Linked DNA regions of Schizosaccharomyces pombe. The protein of the gene in region 1 purifies or fractionates together with the protein of each later gene. This does not show direct contact. Each region holds a gene or a part of one and is shown on either strand. Other genes may lie near its edges. The genes, in order: dbl8 and rpa43.

What was found.
Region 2: the proteins of dbl8 (region 1) and rpa43 purify together in Schizosaccharomyces pombe (affinity purification with western blotting, with the first as the bait; one study listed by BioGRID). This does not show direct contact.

What each region holds. Positions count from the first base shown.
Region 1 is NC_003423.3:2,557,103-2,565,361, forward strand, and holds dbl8 (ATP-dependent RNA helicase Dbl8), read right to left. Parts: upstream 6,068-8,259; 5' UTR 6,026-6,067; coding exon 191-6,025; 3' UTR 48-190; downstream 1-47. Other genes in the region: guanyl-nucleotide exchange factor Muk1, read right to left, coding at 6,824-7,646, 7,695-8,080.
Region 2 is NC_003423.3:3,999,767-4,003,203, forward strand, and holds rpa43 (DNA-directed RNA polymerase I complex subunit Rpa43), read right to left. Parts: upstream 1,478-3,437; 5' UTR 1,465-1,477; coding exon 1,197-1,464; exon of another isoform or gene 1,091-1,196; coding exon 892-1,090; exon of another isoform or gene 826-891; coding exon 771-825; 3' UTR 701-770; downstream 1-700. Other genes in the region: mnh1 (protein mago nashi), read right to left, coding at 2,112-2,258, 2,328-2,415, 2,458-2,521, 2,573-2,626, 2,699-2,725, 2,778-2,815, 2,862-2,887. UniProt on the Schizosaccharomyces pombe protein: DNA-dependent RNA polymerase catalyzes the transcription of DNA into RNA using the four ribonucleoside triphosphates as substrates. Component of RNA polymerase I which synthesizes ribosomal RNA precursors.

The DNA.
Region 1 (8,259 bases):
TGCATTTGTCCTGTTTATATATACCATTGAGTAAAAATTAATATAGTGTTGTTGTAAGCAAAATCATTTTTAGATAGGAGAAATATTAATAAATAAACTATGTCTAAGATTCAAATGATTGAAAACGTCCCGCTACTCGTGTTATTAAAAAAGTAATACTGTAAAATACTCATACTAAAACCTAAATCGGCTACTTCCTTTTGAAATGCTCAACTTTTGGAGGTGCAAAACCGTGGGCCATCGCCGCCAGAGCAAGTTTCGATTTGGGCTTTTTTGATTTTTTCATATGGCCTTTATCTTTATTTTTTTCCACATAACCCGGCTTTTTGGAAGACGCTTGTTCAATTTCAGATTCGTCTATTTTGTTTAACACATCTTGCTTGGAACTGGATGATTCATCAAGGCGTGGTTTCGTGACCTTATTATCAGCAGCAGTCTGATCAGTGGAAACTTTGTTCTTAGCGCGCTTATTCGGTATATCTTCATCTCTCTCAGTTCCTCTTGACAAATTAGCACTATCTATATTGTGCCGTTTTTTGACTTTATGTGCTTCTTGTTTTTCCTCACAGATACCAACCGACGGCGACTTAATTGGGGTATCCCGTGAGGCTAAATTTAAATTGTTAGATGCGAGGTGTGTCGAAACGTTTGATATACTTTTTGAGTTCTTAAATTGATTAGCACTCAAGTCTCTCCAAACACCACGAGTTTTTGCGTCTTCAATCAAGCTATAAAAAATATCCTCTTGCATTAGCGGTTTAGAATTGCCTACGATATACAAAGATGATTTAGCTCTTGTTAAAGCTACATTAAGCCGACGAAGATCTTGAAGGAAACCGATTCCACCGCTCATCGAACTCCTAACGCAAGAAAAAATTATAATGTCCTTTTCCTGTCCCTGAAACCCATCGACGGTATGAATATCAAGATGCTTGAATATAATGGAACCATACTTTCTTTGAAATTGTGATCGAAGCTGTTGTACTTGACTTCTATAAGGGGTAACAACTCCAATTTTCCCCTCAAAATCAATGTTTAGATAACATTGAATTAGCCTCTCATATAATAATAAAATAAACGAAGCCTCTTCCACATTGTACAGAGACTTTGAGTTGGAAAAAGCTTCCGTCCCGTGAACATTAAAAAATCGATAAATACCTAGCTGCGGATCCTCGTGCCAAGGTCGAGATGTCACTGCTGACATATTGGGACCGTCAAGTAGTTTTGAATTATAGAAAAACTTGCTGGGAAATCGGCTAATTTCAGGATTCATTCTATACTGTATGCTAAGAAGACAAGCGCTCTCATTATGCTGTTTGAACATTCTGACATATAGAGATTGTGAATATCCAAACTTTGCAGAGGTTTTTGATAGCACAGTAGGAGGAAGCTGATTCGGATCACCAACCATTACACAGCTCTCACAGCCATACTTAAGAGGTATGATTGAACTTAATTCAACGGCTTGTGCAGCTTCATCAATTATGACAGTTCGAAAAGTCAAACCCGCATTTAAAAGTAGTTCATGACCACTCGCAGATAAGGTAGCACATACAATATCAGCTTCCTGAAGTAGTTGATTTTGTATTTGTTTTTTCAAAACATCCAGATTACGATTAGTTGAGCGTTGACGTTCTCTCATATCATCAAGGCTCTGTTCAAGCATGTTTTTCTGTTTGGTAATCTCACGAAGCTGTGCTTCCAATATTGAACTATTTTTTCCAGTACTACGAAACTTTTCTAGATCTTCGCGTAAAGAGTCCCTTTTTTTAATAATTGAGTCATATTTTTTCCGAGTATCACTGGAATTGTTTGCTTCTTGATCTTTCTTTAGGTTCGTAAGTTCCATTTGCTTTATCATTTGCTCTTCCAAAGTAAATTCTTTAGCGTGAACGCTTATGGAGTCACCAAATCCAACACGAATAACTTTTGGAAAAAATTTGATACCCTCATGATCGTAAACACCGGCTTTGATACGAAGGAGAATTTCATCTATGGCTGCATTACTAGGAGCGCATATTAAAATCTTATTCTTTGAGGTTTTTCGCGTCTGTCCTGGGACATTAAATTGCAACCCTTGACTAGAAGAAGTAAGTACAGCTCCAATCATGCCTAGAATGGTTTTAGTTTTTCCAGTTCCAGGAGGCCCTTGAATGAGCGTAAAACCATCATTTACAGAAGATGCATAAATCGCATATGCCTGGGGTTCATTTACACCATAAGACTTCATTATTTTTTGCTTTTTGTCATCTGTAAAATTTGAAGGTAGACGCGTTACATTGGCATCCAGAATTCTCTGAGACAATGGTAAATGGCGAAGAGATTTTAAAGCAGCAAATTCACGTAAGCTAGTAGTAGCATTAAATAATTTTTGTGCTGTGAACCTAATGTTCGGTGCATACTCCTGTAGATCAATTGATTCAATATTCATCCGCAGACAGAGTTCAAGTGATTCTTTTTTACGAGAAATGGATTGAATTTTGCACAACTGAAAAGATTTTGGGTTATTAGTATCGCCCGAACTTTGTGATTTTGACAGTAAGCAAATATCTGTATCACTTAAAAAAGAGACTTCGGTAGGTGAACAGGACGTAAAGTAAATATCGACAAAGTTATCAACTGTACTGCGGGTGTTGAGGATTAAATCTATGGGAGGGTATTGCTTTTCTTCAACGGCACTTTTCACTTGAGCCCAACATTCATGAAACAACATTGGTTTGAAAACTTTCTCATAAGCGTTTGAATCATTATACGTGAATTTAGCTTGGACGCACTGCATCTCAACATTAGACGCCGAAAAAGAATCAGCTAATGGGTTCCAACCCAAAATTACTTTGTAAAACTCTTGAACATCAGGGTTTAGCCGGAGTCGAGCAAGTTGTGCACTTTGTTGAGTATTACGGCGCAATTGAGTAGGATGAACTACATTTTTTGTTTTAAGGGAATCAAAGTCCAAGAACTGAATCTGCCTTCTTTGTGGAAGAGATTTAGAGGCATGAGAATTAGCTTCACGTGCAAGCGAGAATAGACCGTTACTAGACTCTTCTTCGGACTCCGAGGTATCTTCATCGGAAGTTGAAGTATTTTTGTCATCTGGATTAGAATAACTTTTAGAAGTGTGCAAAAGTGAAGGCTTGCGAATTGGGTCAGCAGAATCGAGCTTTTGCAAAGCTTTTGGTATATGATTATCCGAATTAAGTTTCTCAGAAAGATGGTTCCCCGCACTGGTTCTTGGAACTTTCGCGGATTCGCGAATTCGCTGTGTTGTCTCTTGTTTAGATTTCAAAAAATTTAAATTTTGAGATTTTTGAGCATTTCTATTGATGGCTTTAGAAGCAGAAATAGCCTTCGGAGGAAGCAAAAAATGATTTGAAGTACTAATGTTTGACTCAGGTAATTTTTTCGCAATCCCAATAGTCTGGTCTTTAGAAAGCAAACCCCGATCATCACTCTGTAACTTAGTTTCAAGCGTATTGGTATCATTGAAAGGAGAGTGATTAAGAACGTCTTCTGAAAGGTATGGTGTGAGCGATATAAAAAGATCCTCTCTCTCAGTGAATGTAAGAATTGTTTGTTCATCACTGGTAATTGATGCCCTATGGATAATATCAATCACATTTTGACTAATTGGACACTCCAACTTTTTACAAATTTTAAGCATTTTACAAATCACTTTCACAACGGATGTTAGAAGTGAAGAATCAGTTAACTTAAGCCAATAAGATACAGTAACCAAAGAATCAGCTATACACATAGCTAAAGCACTGCCCTTATCATTAGCCGAAACAATTTTAATATCGTTATCCGATAATCCAAAAATGAATCCGTTAACTTCCTCAAAAATATTAATGAGCATATCGCAAAAATCAAGGGTATCCCGCATTAAATCAACTAAATTGTCCTTATCATGAACTGGCCAAGTAGGAAGAACAATGAAAAAATGAGTAAAGAATTTCCATAACGATTCCCAGAAATTCTTAAGGGATTCTTTCTTTTCCACTTGTTTTGCAAAAGTCGCATCCTTAGAAGTTAAGCCATCAACAGAGTCAAAAATAGTGTTTATAATTAATTTATTAAAATAAACAATGTGCTTGGCTCCTCCAAAGTTTCTGACTTTAAGCCACTGCAGAAGAACATAACATGAAGAATTTAGTGTATTTGAAAACTGGCTTCTCAATAGCTCTCCTATAGTATCAACAACGCTGTCAGAAAGCGAAATAGATTTAATAATTGAGATACTTCCTGTTGAGATCTCAAGAATTGGAGAAAAAACGAGTGAAAAGATTCCACGAAAAGTTAAAGGATTTGAAACCAATTGGGTTTGTGCCGACAAATGCCAACATTGAGTCTGAATAAGCATTTCAGAAAATGTTGCAACAAATCCGTTTAGTGCATTTTCGAAATCACTTTTGAACGGAATGTCAACTTTCTTAGGCGGCAACTTATCAATCAAGCAAACTGTAGAGCAAGCACGAAAAACAATACGAACCATAAAGAACTTCTCCTCTCGAAATACGTTTTGCAAATATACCCAAAAATTTTTAAAAGACTCACTTACCGATTTGATATTCAAGGGTGGCTTTCTATTTCTGTCCAAATAATGGCAATAGAATTGCTTCAAAATATAAAGATCTAAATTCAATCGGTATTCAAAAACTTTCTTAATAAGCCTCCATTCAACAGACTCTTCATTTTCCAAGTTTAGCAAACGAAACAGCTCGTCAAACTTAATCGCTAAAGTGGAATGTAATTCAAATACTTTGTTTTGTAAACTTTGATCACTATGGGGGAAAATCATAAAATATTCGGAAAACAAAACTGAAAATATGTCAGCAAGTGATTGAAGTAACTGAACATTTTTGAAACCGACTTCCAGTTCCTTTTTATATTGCATGGTGTAATTAATCAAAATTTTGTTAATTAATTCAACTTCATCAATGATTGAAATTGTCTTCAAAAGAGAGGTAGCCCATTCAAACGGATTCTCTGCCTTTTGGTCGTTTGAAAAATTGGATGTATTTTCTTCTGTCCACCTCTTATAAGCATTACCATTAAAAATTTTATCTATTACTTCACTGGGAGAAATTTCTGGCGTCCAAAAATTACGTCCATAGCAGTATAACAAAGAATGTAAACATACAAGGAAAGACGGACATAAATTAGTATGGTCGCTTTGCAATCCCGAAAGAATAAAATCGGCGACATTGAAATTTTTTCCTGTAAGTCCCCTAAAATAAAGATGATCAACATGCTTTAACAGCAACGATAAACCTTTCAGAAAAATTTGCATCTCGTTCTCATTTTCTTTCTTCTGGTCTAAAGAACGAATTTCCTGAAGAAGGGGACCCTCAAGGATTTTAAATTCATTATCGGAGATTGTTTTTACATCACTTAAAATACTGCAAGCCCATCTTCGGAGCTCATCATCTCTCGAGAAGAGAAGACTTATGACACCTGGCACTAGGTTTTTCGAGAGCCGAAGAAAACCGGACTCAAGAAATCTGTTTCGGAACAAGGGAAAGATTTCTTTATTATGTAAAATACGAGGAGAGTATAAGATTTCGTAGAAGGCGCATAGTATAGGTTTAGAGGCCGAGGACGTGTCGATTTTAGGCACTGTTTTGAGAACTTCCTGTAACCGAAAAATGTCCCAACTATAAATTTTCTCCATTACAATCTCAAGAGTATTTGGGTCAAAGTGAAAAATGTTTAAACATAGACTTTTGAAATCATCTAAAGATTGGTGATATTTAACTATACATTTGGGGCATAACTGAAGGCGTTCGTTCAAATGTTTTTTGAACCATACCAGATACTCGTTATCATTTTGAAAAGAAAATAGAAAAAGACATTCACGAACTGCTACTTGTAATTTAGGATCACAAACCCAATGAGGGTTTTGTCTGTTAGTATTTAGGTATGAAAGCGCCAAATGCAAAACTTTATTGGACCCTTCGAAAGATGGGTGTTTTTGATTTTCCTGAATTTTTCTTATTAATCTATCAAAAGCCTCGTCATTTTCCATAACCACAAGCTAATGCTGCATTCTCACTCTCGAAGTAGACTTATTAAAGCGCGACTGCAATTTTTCAAAATCTAGGTTTCTAAGGAAGTAAATTACACTATTCACTATAAACATTTAGTGCAACCAATCATTTGATGTCCACACAGCACTCGATTATCGCATTGAAATAAAATAGCCTTAAGAGAAATTTTAAATAAAAAAATGAACGTATATTTTGAAAGTGTATATAAATTCATGTACCAAAATCACGCTTCTTTATTGTAATTAAGATATATATGATTATCCGAAATATATTTTAAACATTACTATATATAATGTGACAACTTAAAAAACTTTCTTACCCATTATAATCCGAAGTTTGTGATTGTGTGTTTAATTCCTAGTTTCAAATATGACTATTTTCTTCACTGAGCAAAGAATCACAGTTCATTTTATTCAGTATATTTAAAAATTTTGCAGTAACATGATATATTCGTTTCATATATTTCCTTTGTAAGGATTTAATTCGCATGCAATCTTTGCGTCAACATACAAGCTTAAATCATTTTTGCTAGTTCTTTGTGATATTCATACATTAATAAAATAGACGTCAAGGAATAATCAATCCTTGTTTTGAATAAAAATTTTCTTTTAAACTTTTAAGCTGTTCACGAATTGACCTGCAACAAAGAAAAAAAAAATATTGATCAATCATATAACTTTTCTATATGACTTTGTCTCTCAAATGAATCAAATAACCATAAACAAAGCCGAAAACCAACTGGATGTGAAATTTTTAAAGAAAATATTCAGTCAAAATTACTGATTACCATTTTTCTCAAAAAGCAAACGTGCGAGGCGCTTATAGTCAGAAAGAAGAAGTTCAATTTCACCGATTTTAAGATCGCTAGCATCAGAAACAGTCAAAAAGCGTTCCAAAGGTGGGTCGCCCACGAATTCTACAGAATTGGAAGAATCTTCTGAACTTTTGGCAGTGTGATTGGCTACTTTACTAAGTAGAGAGGCATAAGATTTCTCAAGTGCTAGTCCCAGATTTCTTAAATTAGATAAAGATGAGCGATTCACAGGGTAGGGTTCTGCACTCGGATCATGAAGCGAGTTAGAGGTCGAAACTGTTTCGCTATTAGCTACCTCAAGTGAAAGAGGATCATCAGAGGGTTGAATTGACGATTGAGTTAAAAGATTTGGACAAGCTCGAAGAATAAAAGTAAGGGCTGCCTCAAAAGTTGTGAGACAGTATCTTTGCTCTCCGCTTAAAAAATCTGCATTTCGAAAGCGTAACACAAAATTCAGGTGCGATATTAAATGAAATCCGGGATAACAGAGAATGCAATATATGGTCAAATTTAATAAAGAATCAGCATTCAATTCTTCTTGAGGAAGTTGAGAGGCATTCAATATACTTGAATTAACGGTCATAAAAGTGTTTATTTTCGATCTAGGTGTGTGTTGCTCATCGAGAGCAAAAAATGCTTCAGAGACTTCATGTAACCGGTTTGTAAGTTTTTCATCATCAGGTATTGGAATGCAATTGATAAGTTCTTTCTTTTCTTCAGAAGCAATAAATTTTTTTAACAAGTCATCTTTGGCAGCATCCGTACTTGTAGATAAACAGAAAATCCTAACACAATATTAGTAAACAGTTATTGTAGGCGAAGTAATCACATACCGATCATACAAATATTCGCAAACTATATCTTCAATTTGGTCCATCCATTCATCTTTTTGGTTCAGCAAGTGTTGTCTCGCCTTTTTCTGAGCATCTATTTCCTCAGGAAACAAAAGAGGCACATTTTGATCTTTTGAAGAGGGTTGAGGGATAAGGGTTGAAGCAATAAACTCATCGGTATGCTTGTAAAAGTTTTGAAATGCTTTTGCTAGTTCTTCAGGCGAAAGCAATTGAGGGTGAACCGGACTAACTAGAGAAGAGATAAACTGTATCACACATGCTTGTACAGTAGTTGGAAGATTTGATGCAGAATTTGGGAGTTTGATGTCTTCTTCCTTAGGCTTATTTGTATATTTAACAGCTCTCCAAGAATTCAGAAAGCTCATCGAAAGGAACTTTTACGAAAGGTGATCAAAAAGTTTAATTTTCAAAAATAAAATTAAACGAAAAAAAATTCTATATATACATGTAACTAAGAATATGTTAGCATAGGGTCTAATTCAAATTTTCAAATTTATATCAGATAGGATAAACAGCAATCGAAGGAACCGAGTACGAAGTATTC
Region 2 (3,437 bases), 1.4 Mb from region 1:
TTGTCTTTGGAAAGCTTATAAGAAACAAGTATCACATTTCAAATTGCAATTTTTAAAAGAATAACTACAATAATTACTCAGTAGCAATGATCAAAACCGGGCAGTACGGAGATCAGTGTTAATTAGCGTATCTAAATTGTCTGAAATTATTTATTGCACTCTAAAGTGATCAAATTAATTCATATTGCTTAATGATCAATTTGAGATAATTGAAAAAATTTTATTATTGATGTTATTATTAAAATACAGAAAAACAAACGTGGTAATAAAACTTAAGCTTATTTGTCTAAGCATTGATGTGTTATAAGTAGATCTCGATTTATTTAAAGAAGATATTAATCCTTCACCTGACGTATTAAATCAAATAGTGCTTTTTGAAGATTTTAACCAATTATTTTGTCAATAAATTGCAGGCTAACTGGCTGTCCATAAGTTATATTAAACTGTCGAATTTATAAATAAATAGTTCCAAACGCTTGGGTTGTGGAAAGCATTCAATGTCTATATGCAACAAATTGAAAATGAGAGTATCACTAGATGAAATCAAAAGTCTAGAAAAAAGATAACTATGAATTATCATTCATTTCATTCCTTAAGCTTAAATCAACAATTGCCTACTTTTATAAAATCATACAATTGAAAGTACATACACACCGCTTCAAAATAACTTACTGTTTAGTTTTAGCGCGATTCTATAAACCGGAATTTCTTAGGCAAATATCCATAATCATAAGTAACCAATCCTTTTGTATTTTGAATATAAATACTTATTATGAATTTGCTAGCGTCCCTTGAACCATAGTCAACCCAGCTTCTCTTTGTATACTAGATTAACTGTTAGTCATAATTTAATCAAACTTTAGTTAAAACAGTATATAGTTTACGACATACCCATCTACTACAAACTCCAAATCTTTACCAGGCTCCAGAATATTTCCATCATTTGTCTTCCAACGACCTTGTTCTTCCGTAGTATCGGGCTCAATAAAAATCCAATCTTTAGGTATAGATTTTCGCGGAATAGATGCATTAAAAATACCCAAAATTAATAGACCAATATGACTTGGACTGACTAAATTAATTTTTCCTTCTAGTGATAGTTAGCATTTATTTTGGAGTTGGTATAAAATTTTGCACGACTGAATTATCATGATACAAATCCATCATAGAATCTCGAATTTCTAAGCATTTCATACCTAAACAATCGCCTTTTTTGGGAGAAAATACTAAAACGTCTACACGGACCCATATAAAGGAGAATGGGGAGTCATACATGACCTTTGCACTTTTTTCCAGGAATCGAATATTGTCGTACGCCAACACTATTCCATTGATTCTTGGGAGTTTGCTAAGAATCATACTATCCATATGCTCCTGAATAGCATTTAAAGGATCCCTGCTGTGTCCAGGAGCAATGGAAAGGTATAAATCTACAGTCTGTTTGTAGAGTGATAAATCCGGCATGTTGGCGGAACGCAAATTTCCTTCATCGACTGCATCCAGTTTTACAGATATGTTCAAGGGTAAACAAAGCTCTTCAATTGATCAACCAAGGTCATATATAACATATCATGTCTTCGAGAAAGGTTAACAGCTAAATAGGCGATACTATGGCATCAATAGAAATGCCAATTCTGTAAATGACACCATGTCACTACAGTGCTCAAGACATTGAAATTTTTTTTTTAATTACAATAAGAAATACTTTACCTTTTTTTTCTCTTATTTAAATGAAGAATATTATTGAGACAAAATAAGTGAATCGCTCATTACTATACAAATAGTGTCTATTTAATATAGCTAAAATTATTTCAAGATTTTTTTGATATCTTATTGAAAAAAAGATTTTGTAACGCGACTACCATGGAATGGTTGCCATATTCTAAGATGTTCCCAAATAAATAGTCAATTCTTAACCGCTTATGATATGGAATTAAAAGTGCAATACGGTTAATTTAGCATAAAAACTGAAATTCCTTCCTAAAGCTCGAACGTTTTTCAGCTTTGAGACTGTACATTTAGAAACGAAACAAAGGTAATCAAACCCAAATAGTAAACCAATGTTTCACATAAAACTTTTTCGCCCTAATATATAAGAAAATGGAATGCATCTAGTTTTTAACAGGTCGGAGCTTAAAATTTAGGGAGATGAGACTAAAGCACAATGCTTTTAAATCTTGAATTAGGTAGTAGAAAACTTTTAGCCCTTCTGGATCATCACTATTTTGAACGTCTGCCAAACTTCCAAGTTTACAGGTCTAGTAGTTTATATTAGCTTAAAAGTATCTAGAATGAATATATTTATGCCAAATGAAGAGCAATCTTACTTCAAACATGATGTGTTTTCCATTCATACGAATTTCAAGTTCCTGCTTACCATCTTTATTTTCAGGTGGCCAACTTTCATCTGATTCTCTAAATAGTAGTTAGTATAAAAAATTGAAAGAAATGACTTGCTTTATGATCTCACTGTCATCTACAATACGTTGAACTTCTTTTAAAACAAGCTCACTGACGAACACTTTAAGGCTTTGTTAATACGATCGAACAGAAATGTAGTACTAAAACATACTCTCCTTTCGGATTAACGAATCGTTCCGATAGTTAGAATTGTTTGCGTATCTAGCTAATTGAATTAGTATTCATGTCAAACCACTGTTGCTAATATGAATCAGAAAATTGTTGACTCTATTCATACCTAGCCCATCACTATGATAATCGAATTCTAGCAAATGTTTGGTTAGCTGCGCGACCTTGCGTCTAATATTATCGCGTACCCAAGAACTCGTGTCCGAATCGACCATGGTGTCCCGAGCTTCAGTCAGTTAGCATTCAAAACTATTTACAGCTTTTTTGCATACTAGTATCGAACATAAAAATCACTCATTTTCGAGCAAATAGGAATATGATGGCTTCGATGACTACTGCTGAGAGGTAAACTCTTGGTCAAAGATACGAAGCATATAGTGATTCACTATTTTAAATAACACAATACACTAGTGCATCCAATTTTTGGAGCTCGACAATCAAAGTTCGTGGGTAATTCAATATACAGTGTATCTTTGATGAATTCGTTGACATTATATATTGACTGCTAAGTCTATATCTGTAAATCAAAGTCTTTTAATTCCTTAAAGGCTTTTTCCAAATTCAGGTTAAATCTTGACAAGTTATTTTTCTGGGACCTTTTAACGTTCCACGACTTATTTCACTGCATTTACAAAAGTTATTCTGGCACTGTTGCATCTTTTATCGCTAGTTTGTGATCCTTGGGTTGTTTTTTATTAAGACTACGGTTTGATTTTTTTATTGTAACATATTAAATCGAGCTTTTGACAGGCTTCATTTATGTTATTTATATATCGACATTCACAGCTGTCATCCAAAAATATTTTTTTTAAAGGTAGCTAAATAAAGCGAAAGTCGTACTCACAGAT